Linked DNA regions of Arabidopsis thaliana. The protein of the gene in region 3 interacts with the protein of the main gene of each other region in a pairwise test. Each region holds a gene or a part of one and is shown on either strand. Other genes may lie near its edges.

Region 1 (5,371 bases), 6.4 Mb from region 3:
ATTTCTAAGCACAATTCGCGAATATATTGATTAACCATTACATTGGAGGACTCATATTAATTGCCTTTAGATAATAGCATTTCAATACTTAATTGGTAAAAGGTGATGCTCGTTTTGTGTAGTTTTGTATTGGCAATGGGCGAGAATTACAATTTTATATGACGCTTTTGATTATATATATCGCCATACTGAAAAACCAAAATATGACATTGAACTTTTTTTTGTTGATTAAAATCTGATGTTGACAAAATAAACATAAATGCTCAAAAAACATATTCATTAGTCTAGGATTCTCTTGATGTTTTAATGCAGATTGTAATATGTAGAGGTCTTGAGTAGCAATGGTTGGTTGAGAGCATTTTCATTTCGTTCTCTCAAAATAATTCTTGGAAATAGGATGTTTGGTTTGGTTTGGTTTGATTCTAGTTTTATTGGGTTTAATTGTTTTTAACTTTTCTCTATTTTTATCTCAATACTCTATTTTTACTTTAATTTCACTTCAACATATCTCTATTTTTATCTCTAAAATAGAGATGGGTTAGAGATACTATTATGGGTTTACTCTCCTATCGCTCGATCTCCTCTATCTCATAGTACTACTTTGCTTCATTTTTATAGAGTTTGGGAAAATCTTGTGTTTACGCCGGTGTATATTTGTAATCTATCAAATATCCTACCATTGATAATTTTATATAAAATTCACATGATAGAAAAAAACCAAGAAAGAAACGAAAAAACATACACATTGGCAAAATGACACCAATATAGCAACCGTAATGTATGATTAGACAATTTTAGGATCCTAAAGAGAGTCCATCGATTGTGATAATAGTTATGTATCATTATCATTCGAAAATCTTAATAAACTATAGTGGACCAATACAAGCACGAAGATTAAACCTCCTCCATTCAATTTCGTATTCGTTCATACTCAAAATTTAAGAAAATAACAAAAAAATGACGACCATCGGATTCAATCTTAGCTATTCATTGAAACGACGACGAAACGAGGAAAAGGAAACTTATGATGGGACAATCAATACGCTGTCGTTTAAAAAACAATAATTATCACGAAACCTATGAAGAAAAACAGATCAAAATAGAGAAATATTGAAATTCGTGCGTTGAGAGAAAAACGTTGAACGATGGGAGCCGGTAATGGAGAAACGCCAAAACCTACACAGATTTCAATTTCTAAAGATCAATTCCTCGCTTGGAAACGCCAAAAGGTATCTCTCTATCTCTTTCTCCTTTACATGTTGATTCCTAGTGAATATATCGATTTGAAGAACCCTAGATTTGATATCTCTACTCAAACGCATAATCTTTAGGAAGCCCTCGTTGTTTATTTTCATGTAATGAATCTTACATAAAGTTAATCAAAAGAATCATCATTATTGATTAACCTAAGTTTGTTGTTTACTTGTAAGGATGCTGAGTTATTAGCCAAACAAGCTGAAGCAGCAAGGAAACGACAAGAGGACATAGCTTCAGGTCGTGTTCCAATGAATGGTCGTGAGCTTTTCTTGCATGAGCCTTGGGTTTTCGACGATACTCATCATTGATTCTGGTCTATTCACTACTTCTTCATAGGTAACAGAGATCATTCGACTCTCATTAGTACTGCTACTTGCATCTGAGTTTATGAATTGGGACAATGGATCTGCAGATTGTGTGTGATCTGATGAAACCATTGTTGTGTTTTTTTGTTTCATCTCAAGAAACTAGCTAAAGAGATCTGTTACTGCATTATCTATTGATGTTGTCTATTTATGTGTGTTTCAGGTGATTTAAGACATTTCCTCGATGATTTGTGATCCAACTCTGTTTCTCTTTTGTTGTTGTACTCTCATGTTCCCACTTTTGTCTCAAGTGTTAAATCAGAAATTTAGTCCTCAGTAATTGTGACTTAATCGTTGGCTCTGATTATTTGGAAATTTGGTGGTTGAATGTTACATCCCTCAATGTTTGATATATATTCAAAGGCAAACAAAAGTCGAGACATTAACTGAAATTGTGTTAATGGGACATTTTTAGTGAAGATAGTTCATAGAGTCGACGAAAAAGACAACAAACTCTGCGCTATGATGTATCATGAGGACTATTTAGCTATCAAACTCATAAAAGTTAGCGTCTTTGATGCTTAAACAGCATATGAGTATCTCGTAATCTCATCACCGTTTATCCAAAGATTTTGATGAAAAAAGAAGAGCAAACTTAAGAAATCTCCAAAACGATATACAACGAAACGAGGCTAGAGAAGGAATATAGTCAAAAATTCTAATTTTAGTTCCTATTAACTCGCCTAATTATAAGCAGTTTTCTTCATCCTCCTTCCGTATATATTAACAAAATTATTTTCAAACAAGGATTTTTTGGATTGAAGTTTTGTAGATTACTGATCAGCATTATTATATCAACTTACGATTTGGATGAATCAAAATCTCTTCCTGCTTCGCCAATATGGGTCGGGTGAAATTAGAAATCAAGAGAATAGAGAACACAACGAATCGACAAGTTACGTTTTCAAAACGTAGAAATGGTTTGATTAAGAAAGCTTATGAATTGTCGATTCTTTGTGATATCGACATTGCTCTTATCATGTTCTCTCCTTCTGATCGCCTTAGCCTTTTCTCCGGAAAAACTCGGTATTACATCATTTAATTTACCCCTTTTTCATTAACATTTTCCATTGCTAGCTTTCTAGGTTTTGGACCATATCATATCTTAGTTCTCTGTCTCTTTAGGATTGAAGACGTTTTTTCAAGATTCATCAATCTTCCTAAACAAGAACGAGAGAGGTACGCTAAAAACTACTTTCTTTTCCAAGTTTTATAAATTACTACATTTTTAGTAAATTTTGACTTTGGTTATTTGATTTGTTTTCTTTCAGTGCTCTATACTTTCCTGACCAGAATAGACGCCCGTATGTATATCAGTTTTTCTTTTGTTACATTACACTTGATCATATGGGTATAATAAATTTTTCATGACCCTCTCTTTTCTTTTTTGGTTTGTTTGCAGAGATATTCAAAACAAAGAGGTTAGTTCTAATCATAGTGATTAGTTTGTTCCTCATTATGTTGTTTCCTTAAAGTCAAGAATAATGTTGTTGTTATGTGAAAGTGTCTACTAAGGATTCTGCAGCAACTCAAGACTGAAAATGACATCGCTCTTCAAGTCACGAAGTCCGTAAATTCCTTCGGTTTGTCGTTATAATTGATTTTATAATTTTCATATGTTTACCAAGATACACTCCTTCAAAACACATTTAAACTATACACTAAACTTTTTTTTTCTTTCATATAATTATTTTGAAAAAGCCCTGCAGCTATCAACTCTGACGTCGAGGTAATTAATCGTTATTCCATCAATTAATTAGAAGACATAGATATATTTCTAAATGTCTCGCTTGAAATCGGAAATCTAGGAACTTGAGCATGAAGTTTGTAGGTTACAACAACAACTCCAAATGGCAGAAGAAGAACTAAGGTTTTTACTCGAAAAATAAATGTTATATGTTATAGTTTATAATTTTTTTAACTCAAATCATGATTGCTTACTATATAATATGAGCAGGAGATACGAACCGGATCCAATAAGATTCACGACCATGGAGGAATACGAAGTTTCTGAGAAGCAACTTCTCGACACTCTAACACATGTTGTCCAACGGCGAGACCATCTCATGAGCAACCATTTATCTTCGTATGAAGCATCTACTATGCAACCAAACATTGGTGGTCCTTTTGTAAATGACGTCGTTGAAGGTTGGCTACCTGAAAATGGGACCAATCAAACCCATTTGTTTGATGCATCGGCCCATTCTAACCAACTCAGGTACTATAATTGTTTTTTTTTCTTTGATCAAGAAGATTTGTAAACTTTTCACATTTTTTTATAATCTTGATCAAGAAAATTCAGTAAATTTTTACTTTAAAGAAATGTAAAATTGGCAGAGAATTATCATCGGCAATGTATGAACCATTGTTGCAAGGAAGTAGCTCAAGCTCGAACCAAAACAACATGAGTGAATGCCACGTGACGAACCACAATGGTGAAATGTTCCCTGAGTGGGCTCAGGCGTATTCATCCTCGGCCTTATTCGCTTCTATGCAGCAACAGGTTTTTTTTGGTCTTTTTTTTTGTCTTTAATAACTTAAGTTAAAAATGTTGACTTTTTTGGTCAATGTGCCAGCATGAAGGTGTGGGTCCCAGTATAGAAGAGATGATGCCAGCTCAGCAGAGTGATATTCCGGGAGTGACGGCGGAGACACAAGTTGATCATGAAGTCTCCGACTATGAAACAAAGGTTCCTCAACTCAGTAGCCAATAATGTATTATTTATTTATGTATACCATTTTTAAAAATTTATTCATATTTTTTTCCAACAACCCATAAAAAAGTGAACTTTTTTTTGCCATGAGAAGACGATGAAGAGTCGTGTTATTTTTGTATACTATTCTTTTTGGCAACACCATTTTATAGTTTTATGGGCGAAAAGCAAATCAAGTTTTATCTTCTTTAATTTTCACAAAAAAAAAGAAATCTTATCTTCATTATGTTATTCTTATATGTGTTCTGTTTCTTTTTTTTTTCAAAATTACACTGCCATAGAAGTTATAGTCAGGAGAAGACAACAAAAAAGAAAAATCTGACACATAAATAACCTTTTACTACACAATTTGTTGTTAATTTGTAACGGAAAATTTTATCTTCTCAGTTTATACTAAAAACATGGCTACAGTAAAATCTCTTTAAATTAATAATATTGAGACAAAAAAAATTACTAATTTAGAGAGATATTATTTATCGATAAATTAATAAAATTGTACAAATTTTGGAAATTCTTACAATAATTCAATATAAGATGTAGTTTTTTTCTTTATAATCGATAGTATTTATGAAACCAATTACAAGTATAAAACAATTATTAAGTTTAAAAAATAATACAAATTTTTTTTGATGTTGTAAAATACTAGAATTGAATACTACAAAAAATTAATAAAATTGAAGAAAAACATTAATAGAATCATATTTTACATATGATATTTATAATAAATATTTGTAAATTTATACAATTATTAATTTATACTATTGATAGGACCATATATTTATATAAAATTTTCAAAAAAATTATTATCTTATTAATTTATCAATTTGTATCAATTTTTACATTGGTCCCAACTCTATACCGGAAAAATTTATTAATTTATCGAATAATAATTTATAGAGGTTTTACTGTATTTCGTTTCCACTTGTGTAGTTAAGACAAAAAAAAAAGAAAGAAAAACTGAATAGATATTTCTCATCAGATTTAGATTTTCTTCCTTAATTGTCTATTATCTTCCTTAATAGTCTTTTTCTATTA
Region 2 (5,973 bases), about 28 Mb from region 3:
CCAGTTGGGTTTGAGTCAGTTTGGATAAAAAGTTTCAGGCCCTAAAAATACTCAAAAAAATAGAAACGGGTATTTTGTATGTAGATAGTGCGTCTCCAAACAAAAAAAACTTTTAAATTTATTAAGTTTTAATAAATTTAATTATATTTGAATATATTTTACTAAATTTTGACAAATATAACAAATAATTTTGACAAACATAACAAACATAACAAAATATACAATTTAATTTATACAAAATATTAATAGCACGGGTTATGATCTAGTTTATTAACTATATAATTGAAACTATTGTTTTTACTCAAGATTGATTGATGCCCTGAGGAAGTCAACAAAACTCTTTATATTCAATCATGTGAATTATTCCTATAGACAACAAAAGCGTCGATATCTCATATATTTTCTAACCAATAAAACTGCTATATAAAAATGCTACTAGGCCGACCAAATTCGCTGTGCATAGACAGACCCTGTACGACAAAACAATCAATAATGTATACTGTTTCATTCAAGTGGCAAATAAGTACACAAAAAATCAAATACATATGTTTAAAGTACCTTTGAAAAACTGGCTGTGAGAATGGATACTTGTGATCGATCTTTATCCTTTTGATCAGCTTAATCAGTTGTGATCTTACACTGTGAATTTTGATGGATAAGACTATGTATATAACAGAGTTATTTGTATATATGTAGGTGGGGATATCGTTTGCAAGAATAATGTTGAGTTCGATAAGACCAAGCATTGAGGCCTTAGGGAGGTTATCAAAAACAGATATCTTCGGTGACATAAATCAGTATCCAATGGCAAATAAGACTGCAGGATTATTGACTCTTCGAATCAGTTCTCCTTTGCTATGCTTTGCTAATGCCAATTTTATAAGAGACAGGTCATTAATCAATATTTATCTTCTTCTTTTTTTTTTTTTTTTGTTCAAACATCATTAGTTACTCTTGTGAAACTCTTATCAGTTTGACAAAAAAAATAAATATTTTTTCTTCTTTCAGAATATTGAATTCAGTTCAAGAAATAGAAGGAGAGGAGAATGAACAAGAAGTTCTAAAAGAAAATGGTCTTCAAGTAGTAATTCTCGACATGTCTTGTAAGCACATCCCACATTCTATCATGATATACTAATTTATAGAAAATGTTTTATTGTATATATAGTAGAGGTACTGAATCTTACATGTAACAAAATATTGGTGAAGGCGTGATGGGCGTAGATACATCAGGAGTATTTGCACTTGAAGAACTACATCAAGAGCTAGCTTCTAATGACATCCGGGTACATCTTTATTTCTCAATCAAATGTTATTCATTCACTATAGTTACATATGTGGGTTCATTGGATTTTCAAATTACCAATATTTGTTTTATGTTTGTGGGCTGCAGTTAGTCATCGCTAGTCCCAGATGGAGGGTACTTCACAAATTGAAGCGAGCAAAATTGGACGAGAAAATAAAGACAGAAAATATATATATGACAGTAGGAGAAGCCGTAGATATTTATGTAAGAGCAAGATCTACGTCCCACGAGTTGTGTTGATATATATATGTAAGAAACAGTACAACTCAAACATATAACCTAGTGATAATTTTATTGTTTTCTCATATAGCCTATAGTTTTTATTTAATGTACACCTGACTAAAAAGTACAAATTTCAATGCATAAGGCTACAAAATATTCTTCTTCTTTTTTTTCTTTTTTTCTTTTTATTTTCTTTTACATCTTTTGGTTTGGCTTACAATTTTTTTTTACATCTTTTGGTTTGGTTTACATTCCTAAGTGTTTTTTTAAGAAAAATAAATAAAATAATACAAGGATATATATAGCAGTGAATTGGAATCAGAACTTACATTGGTGTCTTGGTGAGTGAATAATCATATGAATCTTCCACTTTGAACATCATCACGAACAATTCACAATGTTTAAGCAAAAACACCTTGAGATAGTGTTTAACGGTCGGAAAATATAGCCGTTGAAGGAAAGTCAAATATTTGACCATTAAGTAGATATTGCCGAAGCCTCTCCATATGCTGAGAGAGTAGCCATTGCGAGGTAAAGAGGACTAGTTGACTTTTATGTTTTGTTTTTACAATTAATTATTGACAAAATAAACGATATATGCTGGTTAATCTGAACGTTATTAATTGATCCCAATACTCCTATATGAATTTTCTGTGGCAAAAAATAACATCATATTCTTAATTCGTTCAAAGAACAAAACCCTTTTAATCTCTCTTAATCTCTTCCATACATTTCTAACCAAATCTCTCTTATACCTAACCTCTCCTTCTTTCATGGTTCTCTTTTCTCTCGTCCGTACATCTCTCATATATATATAGGCACTTTTGCCTCCAATGATCAGATTTTCGCATTCCCTAAACCAAAATAAAGAAGAGTCTTTGAGTTTGTTGGTTGCATTGATCGGATATAAGAGACATGGGTCGAGTGAAATTGGAGATAAAACGAATAGAAAACACAACGAATCGACAAGTTACATTCTCCAAAAGACGAAATGGTCTTATAAAGAAAGCTTATGAATTGTCCATTCTTTGTGACATCGACATTGCTCTCCTCATGTTCTCTCCCTCTGATCGCCTTAGCCTCTTTTCGGGCAAAACAAGGTTTTTTGTTGTTGTTGTCTTATAACATTTTCTTTCGGTTAATTGTACAAAACATGGAAACATTCATTTGATCTATATTTATTCGTTAAACTCTTGTCAGGATTGAAGACGTTTTCTCTAGATACATCAATCTTTCTGATCAAGAACGAGAGAAGTAAGCTGACCTTTCAAGGCTTTAATAGATTCTCTAAAGATATTCCACTCATTTGTTCTTAATATTTCTCTTTCATTTTGTTTTAGTGCTCTAGTATTCCCCGATCAAAGTCGACGCCCGTATGTATCTTACTCTTATTCCGATAAATAATTAAACATATAATAACCGTATATTTATAATCATCAAAATCTAATTGAGTTTTTCATATTTTGACAACTCTATCTTGCAGAGATTTCCAGAGCAAAGAGGTATGTAATTAGATTAAGCATATTGTGCATGTGTCATGTGTGTATATATACCTAGCTCCTTTTCAATGAAGGACAATTATACATTTCAGATTATTGATCTCGAAATTTTCTTGTCACGTGACAGTATCTACTCCGGACTTTGCAGCAACTCAAGGCTGAGAATGATATTGCTCTTCAACTTACCAAGTCTCAAATTCTTTCTCTACTTTCATTATTATATAACTACGTTATTTGCAATAATTCGGAAGTTGATTTTCTTTATTTTTCTCTTATTGGATGATTTTAAAAAAGCCCTACAGCTATCAACTCCGACGTCGAGGTGAATCTTCTATTTTTTTCCTCTAGCTAATAACTTTACTTTATGTTATTTACTCTCTAATCATCAATTTTAGGAACTTGAGCATGAAGTTTATAAGTTACAACAACAACTTCTCATGGCAGAGGAAGAACTAAGGTCTTCTTTTTATAACCAAAAACACAGTGAATGTGATACAATGTATGAAAATTTATGTAACTAATACTTATATCCAAATTATATATATAATTAGGAAATACGAACCAGATCCAATCAGGTTTACAACAATGGAAGAGTACGAAACTTGTGAGAAGCAGCTCATGGACACCTTAACACGTGTCAATCAACGACGGGTCAATAATTTAAACTCCCCTTTATTTTTTTCTAAGCATAATGTATTCAACAATATCTATTAGTAACTAAATAATTTCTTGAGACGCAGGAACATATATTGAGTCAAGACCAATTATCTTCATATGAAGCATCTGCTTTACAACAACAGCAAAGCATGGGTGGGCCTTTTGGAAACGACGTCGTTGGAGGATGGCTGACTGAAAATGGGCCTAACGAAGCCCATTTATTCGACGCATCGGCACATTCAGCAATGTATGAAACTTTATTGCAAGGAAGTAGCTCAAGCTCGAACCAAAACAACATTATGGGTGAATCCAATGTGTCAAATCATAACGGTGACATGTTTCAAGAATGGGCCCAAGCCTATAATTCTACTACGGCCCATAACCCTTCGACTCTATTTCCTCCTATGCAGCATCAGGTTCTATATTTTCTCTTTTTCCGAAATAAATTAAAATTGTTTCACTAATTTTTTTTTTTGCTTTTAAATATGTTAGCATGGACTGGTGGTTGATCCCAATATAGAAGAAATTGAAATACCGGTTATGAAGAAGGATGCACAAGCAGACCACGAGGTCTCCGACTATGATATAAGAATGCCTCAGCTCAGTAGCCAATAATCTCAAGGAATTTCAATTTTACCATATATTATTGACATAATTTATACGTTTTTTCTTTTATTTTTTAGAAAAGTTAACAATATATATACGGTTTTATTTATCTATGAAGACAAGATATTACTATATATATGTTTATATAAAACACAACTTCCACACTTAAGAGTTAAGACCTTAACCTTTTATTGACTTGTATATTGTACATAACGTTTCTATTATAAAAAAAACATTTTACTGTTAAACAATGTATATACTATATATTATGTATATAAAACATGAAAAACATGTTTTGCTCTCAAATATGCATATGATTATGTCAATTTTGCTTGTCTAATTTTTTTAAAAGATCATTCAACTTTTGGTTGAGTGAAGATAATCATAATTTTGTTTGGACTTATTTAAGTATAAAACAGTTGAAAGAGAAATTTAACTTAAAACAAAAAAACAAAAAACGGAAAGAGTGATTTTTTAAAATTTTTAGTTTTTTTATTTGATATCACTAACGTACGCGGGTTTAAACGTTCTAGTGGAGACACTATGGTTAGTATTTAGAAAATTATTTTGATCTATCGAATTTTAGTGGGTGCAGTTGCTCAATACTTGTAATACATGCAAATGCATATACCTCTATATTAATCTTTTTTTTTTTTGGTAGAATAGGAGGAGACTATGTCTCTCACCAATTCATTAAAAGAGAATAAAACGCCATACGTATATACGAACATTCTATAAGTGCGCAGACCCACTAATATCCTTTAAAAAAATAAAACAAATAAAATCAGGACTAATAGTAACATATGCATTTTTCTATTTTAAAAAAAAAACACTGGTTTCCATAAATTTGTGTGATATCTGGGAAAAAAAACATAAAATATTAATTTAGGCTTTTTTCTTTTATTATAAATTTTCTAAGAACTTCAAACTCGTATGTGTTATCCACTAATTAAGATGCATTGACAAAAAAGTAGTATCTAATAAAGTCAATATATTCTATAAATAATGGACCAATCAAGAAATTTGTGAGACAATCTTATATATACTTGTGCCCCCAAAAAAAAAAAAAAAAAAAAAAAATCTTATATATACTCATAGAGATCAATTATATAACCTTACGTAGACGATGAAGTGGTATGACGTAAAAACTGTCCTCTATATATGAAAAAAAGAAAGGTTAGTAACTTAGTATGTAGAATTTGAGTTGTATGTGTTAAACAAATTCACAGAAATTTAATAGTGTGTATCAAATGTATTATTCACAATGACTACAAAATAGATTTTGCTCTTGAAGAAGGTAGTTTGAATTTGAATCTGTTATAGCTTAACGAAAAACCGTCAAAACGATGAAACGGATGATTTTTGCATTGAAAGCAATATTATTTTCAAATTTGTCCTCGAAAAAGTGGTCTTATTTCCAAATTTTATTATTTTAAGAGGATATGAGTGATGTAGAAACTTGGCAAAAGCCTTTTAATGAAACACATCCACAAAATCTAGAGAAAGCAATAGAGCTCTGACATTTGGGATTTTCACAATTCAGTGATGACTTATTTTGGTAGAATCCAATCAGAACAATGTACCAATCATTATCTCCAGATTTCTTTCCTCATATATCACACTAAATCTCATTATTTTAAAGAAAATTTAGATTAGACCTGTGAAATACCAAACAATGCTTTT
Region 3 (6,846 bases):
GAGAAAGAAGTTGAAGCTTATAGACAACTACTCGAAGAAACAGAGGAATTGGAATGTTCTTTAATAAAAGAGAAGAATGTTCCAGAACCGGAACACAAACAAAACAAAGACTGTCAAGAGAGAAGAGCTTTGCTCGTTCAGGAACTTGATGGAACGGTTCTCGATATGCCTTATAGAGAAGAAGGAAACAGAGATAAAAACAGAGATCTGTATAAATCAGATTCAGAAGTCGCGTACTCACGTGTGCGTGATGTTTATATGGTGAAGGACGAAACAGAGAACATTAGTAAGAAGAAGAATCTAGAAGAATCCTCTGTTGGCAAACCTAAAGAATCGTTGGATGAAAACAGTATCATTGTCTCGGGGATTGCTCGAAAGCTACCTCCCTTATGTCGTCCACGCAAGAAGTCGCTGAGCTCTTCGGGTTCAAGGAGAAAATCGATGTCTGCGGTTGATTATGAGAGGTTAAAGATTGAAAATGAAGTGGAATTGTTAAGAGAAAGATTAAAGGCTGTTCAAGAGGAAAGAGAGGAGCTTACGAGACGAGCATCTTTGCCTCCTTTACCATCAAAGGTTTAAAACAAGTTTCCAAAACTCTATGCTGAAAAAAATCATATTACGTAAATAGCTTTCACTGACACTTTTTTTATATTGCCGTGTTCTTCAGGTTAGGGCTACGTCAGAGAAGCGAAGTTGGACAAGATCTTGTTCCATGGATCTTCACTCTTCTTGAAGGCTGAAGCCTTTTAAATTTTATGTACTTAGACACATACATGTTTGTATGTATAGTATACAGGATTCGATTATCAGTTACGTGTTTACAGATTTTGAGCCATCTCTATGGAGAAATCTTGGATCGCAAGTCACCCTTTGGGAATGTATTTTTCTATCGTCGATCATACATACTTGCTTTTTGTTCGTTTGTATCGACAATAATTATTCGACATAGTGATTCAAATATATATTACTGCAATAAAAGTTGAAGATAACTTATTTACATGTCCTCTTATCAAATCTAAGATACATTGAAAAAGTCATGCAACAACATCCATATATAACGATTGGAAGATATTTTTGTGTTGTTGATGAAAATAGATTATATATAATGTTCATTTTAGTGTAATATCACTTTGTCTAACAATAATTTAACCTCTCTTTTTTTTTAAACGAAGCTTTTCAACTGACTGATATAAAATATAACCGTTATTGTAGTATATCAGTTGTTCAATGGATTAAATTTTGTTCTAAATGTATGTAAGCGGTGATAATGTATGTAAAAATGTATTTTACAGATTGTTGAGAATTGAAATCTTCTTCTAGGATTTGAATGATTGAATCATTCTTATGTATATGATGATATTCTCCAATACTAATTAGTTTATAAGATACAGATAAAAAATAATGTGGAGAAAATCATAAAATATCATGTCGTTTCGCTTTATTGTTAAGTATATAACCTTTTATTTCCGATTTGGTGTTTTCTTATTTTTAACCTCTATAAACGATATGGTTGAATTTGCTAAACTAGTAAAAAATATCACGAAATATGTGCCAAGTCAAACTTTTAATGTCTAAAATAAGTATTCGTTGTATCATAAACTAATTGATATCATCATATATTAAATTCCCTCTTTTTGAAATTATACTGTTACACATGTTCTTGGTAAAAGATATCCAGCGTATAATATTGTTTCTTTCCATATATTGAAAAATGAAAATCACATGAACGTGTATTTTCAGTATATAGTGAAAAAAAGGAAAGAAAATGCCACTCGTATCCTAATCCACTCCCTCACTCCTTTTTTTTTCTCATTTACATTTTAAAGATTATATACACATATATATATATTTATAATAAATACTTTTATTTTTACAACTTTCTGTTGATATTACGAATTGTTTATTTTTATAATTACTATAAATCTTACAACTTTTAATTTTTATGTAAATTTATTTATTTATTTTTAACTTAGGTTTTTAGATTTTCTGATCCACTCATAGAAAAAGTTAAAAGTCCCTTCGAGGACATCCGATAAAAAGAAAAAGCTAAAAACGAATATAATAAAATAAATAAAAAACTATCATCATATTTTATATAAAAATACAAAAACATAAAATATTTTTAAAAATATGAAAATATATAATATTATAAAGTATTGTATAAGTTTTCTTGTATGTTTCTTAATTTATTCGATAAAACCGTTAATTCAATTTATAGTTTTTAGTTGTCCGGTCCACTCGTAAATAACGGTTACAACCGAATACGACAAAATAAATATAAAATTATTGTATAAAAATAGAAAAAAATTTGTTTCAATCACATTAAACTATATTTATCAAAAAAATAATAGAATACATAAATCAATTTCAAAATATTTATAATCTGTGGTCAATCTTCAAGATCTATATTTGTATTAAAATAGAAAATTGTTTTCTTCCTTTAAATTGATATAATTTTTCTCTCTTTCTTATCTTCCTCATATTTTTGCATTATTTCTTATATAGCTCAATTCTCTCTCACCCTTTGAAAAAAATATATTAAAATTTGACCTATTTTATAGCCACCCCATCTGTTATTTATAATCTTTCATCTGGGATCCTCATTTACACAATTCATTCATTCATACACATACGCATCATTCATCAACGTACGCGTCCCTCCCATTATATTCTCTTATATGCACTCTTTCATCACCATCAAAGAGAAACCAAAGCTTTCATTTTTATGAATATTCAAGGGTGAATAGTTAGCAAAGGTGACAACTTTCTTTCATTTTCTTTTAATCTTCTCATATTATTTCATCATCACTTCTTTTTCGTCGTCTGGGCTTTTGCTGCTTCTTGTTTGTTGCTTCGCGGGAAACCCCAAAAATGGTTTCTCTGTTGTATCGTCTATCGAGAATCTATTCGTTGTTTGGTAACAGAGAATTAATGGCTTCTTTGAAGAAAGTTGTTGTTGGGCCTTGAATTTCTCAATAGATGCCTGTAATGTATTTGTTAATATGCCTCCTCGAGGGGTTTTCTTGGTTTATGTTCCTTCGAATCTCAGGCTAATATACGTTGCCGGCGCAAAAATTCCCTCTTTTTTGTCAGAGCGATAGCGAGAGAGAGAGATTGGTTGAAAAAGATGTGTCTTTGTTATGATTCCTTAAAGTATGGTTGCTTTTGTAGCACAAGTCCTTTTACATTTAATGGCAATCTGTCGTATTCAGTTTTTTGTTCTGCATAGAAGAAACAGAGGGAAGAGAAGAATTCATGGAGGGGCTTTTATAGCTTTTTCCTTGAAGCCTTTCTTGGACTTTGCAATCTCTTATTTTCTTGTTTAAGTTTTTCGTCATTTGATTCTTTGTGGATAATATTTATAAATTGAACTCCTGTGTATGTATCTTTGAGTTTCTTTGATGGAAGACGGTTAATTACACTCTGATCTGATGTGTGGAGCCTTAAAGTCTCTGACTTTTGTTTCATTAATAAGCCGGATAGATAGTAAATGCTGAAGAAGGTTTAGTGGTTGTTAAAGAGCGTAAATGATCTTAAAGTGCTTACCTTTTTGTTTTCTTTTTTGTCTTTTGGCTGTGTTAGGAATGGCATCAAGCTCTTGTCTCAAGCAAGGGTCAGTGCCAATGAACAATGTTTGTGTTACCCCTGAAGCAACGTATGAGGCTGTGGTTGCAGACCCTAGGCTTTTCATGACTTCCTTGGAAAGGCTGCACTCTCTCTTGGGTACTAAATTCATGTAAGCTTCTTTCTTCCCTTATCATATCTTACTTAGTAGAGTAAGTTCAGTTGTTATCTGCTCTGACAGAAATTTGTGTTCAGAAAGTCTCTATCTTTGAGATTTAAGCTCTTATGTTGACGATGAATCATGCTTTGTTTTTCACCTACAAAAATTTTACCAGTTACAATGCATGAGATTCTCTGTCTATATTATGGATTCCTCTTCTGTGTGTATAGTCTGACTAAAAGTAATGTTCTTTTTTGTGTAACGCATTGTTCCTTTTGCTTCTTGGGGGTAATGTATTGTAACTTTTACATATTGGATATGGATGCAATACTTTATAGCTTATAGCTTTAACCATTCTACATATTACATTGGTGATTGTAGGGTTCCGATCATAGGAGGAAGAGATTTGGACTTGCACAAGCTTTTCGTTGAGGTAACCTCACGTGGCGGAATCAATAAGGTATGTGAATGCCCTCTCAGGCTCTCAATGATAAATTAATTCCATTCTATATGTATTGTCTGTTTTCTATGTCTCATATAGTTGGTTTTGTTCTAAAATCTTGAAATCTACATTGACATTTTTCCTTGGATCATTTTCCTTCTTTGAATTGCAGATACTTAATGAAAGGAGATGGAAAGAAGTAACTGCTACATTTGTCTTTCCTCCAACTGCAACAAACGCATCATATGTTCTGCGCAAATACTACTTCTCGCTGCTGAACAATTATGAGCAAATCTATTTCTTCAGATCTAATGGTCAGATTCCTCCAGGTTTGTTCATAAAAACCTCTTTAACTATTTTACCAAATTTTCAAATATTTTTCAGTTTCTTCTCTGTTTTGTAACACACATATCTTCTGTAGACTCTATGCAGAGTCCATCTGCTAGACCATGCTTTATTCAGGGAGCCATTAGACCTTCACAAGAACTTCAAGCTCTAACCTTTACCCCACAGCCCAAGATCAATACTGCAGAATTCCTCGGAGGTCTCAACTTTTTTCTCTCTTTGCTTCTATAAATGTTCCAACTGAGAAACTGTGACTTATAAATCTGAGTAAAATCCTTTTTCCTTTGATGTTATTGTTTCAGGATCACTTGCTGGATCAAATGTGGTTGGAGTGATCGATGGAAAATTCGAAAGTGGTTACCTTGTAACTGTAACAATTGGATCAGAGCAGCTTAAAGGAGTTCTGTATCAGCTTCTTCCTCAGAACACAGTTTCTTATCAAACTCCGCAACAGAGTCATGGTGTCCTCCCGAACACTCTGAACATTTCTGCCAATCCTCAGGGGGTTGCAGGAGGAGTAACAAAACGCCGTAGGAGAAGAAAGAAATCAGAGATCAAAAGACGTGATCCTGATCATCCAAAACCCAACAGAAGTGGTTATAACTTCTTTTTCGCAGAGCAGCACGCGAGACTTAAACCGCTTCATCCTGGTAAGGATAGGGATATCAGCAGGATGATTGGTGAGCTATGGAACAAGCTGAATGAAGACGAAAAATTGGTATTTCACACACTGATCTTTGAATTCTTATCAAACTCTGTTACGTATATCGAGTTTTTGTCTCATGATCTGTTTGATTTTCTTTTATTTCTAGATTTACCAAGGGAAGGCAATGGAGGACAAAGAGCGATACAGAACTGAAATGGAAGATTACAGAGAGAAAAAAAAGAATGGACAGCTCATAAGCAACGCTGTTCCGCTGCAACAGAGACTTCCGGAGCAAAACGTAGACATGGCTGAAGCTGACCTTCCAATTGATGAAGTCGAAGAAGATGACGAAGAAGGTGATTCAAGCGGATCCTCAGGCGAAAGCGAGCCACATGATGATCAGAGCATAGAAACTGATCCTGAATTGGAAGAGCCATCTCTGAATCCCTCAGGTCCAAACCTAAACCCTAATCCGACTGAGATAGTGGTGGCTCCTAAGGAGAAAAACGGCGATGTTGTGATGGAAACATCTCCATTGAAGAAAGCCGATGAGCCAACTGTGGCGGTGACTGCTGAGCAGAACTGAAGATTCTTCTCTTGTTTCTTACTCCCCGTTGCCAGTTTCGTGTTCCATAGGTAAATGTTAGAGAGAGGAAAGGGCTTCAGATACCTTGCTTCTGGCCCAAGATTATGTCTTTTTGGTTTTTTTTTTGGTTTTTTTGGATTTTTCTTCGGAAACAAGGCAAGTTTATGGTTATAACATTTTGGCATAAGAGAATTTTTTACTTTCGTTATTAATGGGATATCCTGTAAATTGGTGATTAAAATCTGAAAGGGCCTTATAAACTTGGGCTTGGAAAGCAAATGGGCCGAAGAAGTAATCCCTGTAATATGATTTTGAAAGCGGAGGAGGGAGACTTAAAGACTTTGATTGATTGATTTATAAAAGGAACCCTAAGTTTCCGAACTTTGTCCGTCGCCGTCTGAAAACTCTGTAGCTCTCTCACTTCAGCTTTCCAATTAAAGGGAACAAAGCTTTGATTTTTGCCGCAGTCAGAAGCATTACTTTGCAAGAACAAGTGTGTAAACAAAGATGAGGAGCTCCCAAAACGGCGGCGCAATGGGTGGACGAGCTGCCGGAACCGGCGGAGGAGGACCGTCGGCTCCAGTTGACAAAGAAGTTGACTACGCTCAGTACTTCTGTACTTACTCCTTCCTATACCACCAGAAGGATATGCTCTCCGACCGTGTCCGTATGGATGCTTACTTCAACGCCGTCTTCCAGAACAAACATCACTTTGAGGGCAAGGTATAATAAAGTTCACATCTTTAAGCTTAACAAGTGTTGGAAGACTTTCTATTTGTTTGTAGTCGATGAAAGATTATCTATTGCGAAGTTGTACCCATTGGTCTCTCTGTCTTTCTTGTGGTATTAATAGTTTGAATTGTTGTTTCTGTAATGTGATGAAGACTGTTTTAGACGTGGGCACCGGGAGTGGAATTCTTGCAATTTGGTCAGCTCAAGCTGGTGCCAGGAAGGTTTATGCCGTTGAAGCTACTAAGATGGCTGATCATGCTCGTGCCCTTGTCAAAGCCAATAACCTTGACCATATTGTAGAAGTCATTGAAGGATCTGTCGAGGATATTTCATTGCCTGAGAAAGGTATTATTCACTTTCCCTTTTCTTCT

The links.
Region 1: the proteins of AT1G04880 (region 3) and AGL104 come close enough for resonance energy transfer, tested with the Arabidopsis thaliana proteins (one study listed by BioGRID).
Region 2: the proteins of AT1G04880 (region 3) and AGL66 come close enough for resonance energy transfer, tested with the Arabidopsis thaliana proteins (one study listed by BioGRID).

Annotation. Positions count from the first base shown.
Region 1 is NC_003070.9:7,811,352-7,816,722, reverse strand, and holds AGL104 (AGAMOUS-like 104), read left to right. Parts: upstream 1-2,377; 5' UTR 2,378-2,463; coding exon 2,464-2,648; intron 2,649-2,747; coding exon 2,748-2,801; intron 2,802-2,893; coding exon 2,894-2,926; intron 2,927-3,024; coding exon 3,025-3,043; intron 3,044-3,126; coding exon 3,127-3,188; intron 3,189-3,323; coding exon 3,324-3,351; intron 3,352-3,430; coding exon 3,431-3,492; intron 3,493-3,579; coding exon 3,580-3,840; intron 3,841-3,959; coding exon 3,960-4,125; intron 4,126-4,198; coding exon 4,199-4,336; 3' UTR 4,337-4,512; downstream 4,513-5,371. Other genes in the region: AT1G22140 (zinc finger CCCH domain protein), read left to right, coding at 1,146-1,229, 1,431-1,565. UniProt on the Arabidopsis thaliana protein: Probable transcription factor that forms heterodimers with the MADS-box proteins AGL30 and AGL65 and is involved in the regulation of pollen maturation at the late stages of pollen development and pollen tube growth.
Region 2 is NC_003070.9:29,313,538-29,319,510, reverse strand, and holds AGL66 (AGAMOUS-like 66), read left to right. Parts: upstream 1-2,324; 5' UTR 2,325-2,443; coding exon 2,444-2,628; intron 2,629-2,728; coding exon 2,729-2,782; intron 2,783-2,868; coding exon 2,869-2,901; intron 2,902-3,011; coding exon 3,012-3,030; intron 3,031-3,154; coding exon 3,155-3,216; intron 3,217-3,321; coding exon 3,322-3,349; intron 3,350-3,422; coding exon 3,423-3,484; intron 3,485-3,578; coding exon 3,579-3,678; intron 3,679-3,767; coding exon 3,768-4,100; intron 4,101-4,176; coding exon 4,177-4,299; 3' UTR 4,300-4,670; downstream 4,671-5,973. Other genes in the region: AST56 (STAS domain / Sulfate transporter family), read left to right, coding at 697-890, 1,009-1,103, 1,210-1,286, 1,394-1,546. UniProt on the Arabidopsis thaliana protein: Probable transcription factor that forms a heterodimer with the MADS-box protein AGL30 and is involved in the regulation of pollen maturation at the late stages of pollen development and pollen tube growth.
Region 3 is NC_003070.9:1,375,003-1,381,848, reverse strand, and holds AT1G04880 (HMG (high mobility group) box protein with ARID/BRIGHT DNA-binding domain-containing protein), read left to right. Parts: upstream 1-2,620; 5' UTR 2,621-2,756; intron 2,757-3,582; 5' UTR 3,583-3,584; coding exon 3,585-3,736; intron 3,737-4,105; coding exon 4,106-4,184; intron 4,185-4,338; coding exon 4,339-4,495; intron 4,496-4,587; coding exon 4,588-4,710; intron 4,711-4,813; coding exon 4,814-5,229; intron 5,230-5,323; coding exon 5,324-5,743; 3' UTR 5,744-6,025; downstream 6,026-6,846. Other genes in the region: AT1G04890 (zein-binding protein (Protein of unknown function, DUF593)), read left to right, coding at 1-573, 668-733; PRMT10 (protein arginine methyltransferase 10), read left to right, coding at 6,251-6,466, 6,628-6,820. UniProt on the Arabidopsis thaliana protein: Binds preferentially DNA with A/T-rich content.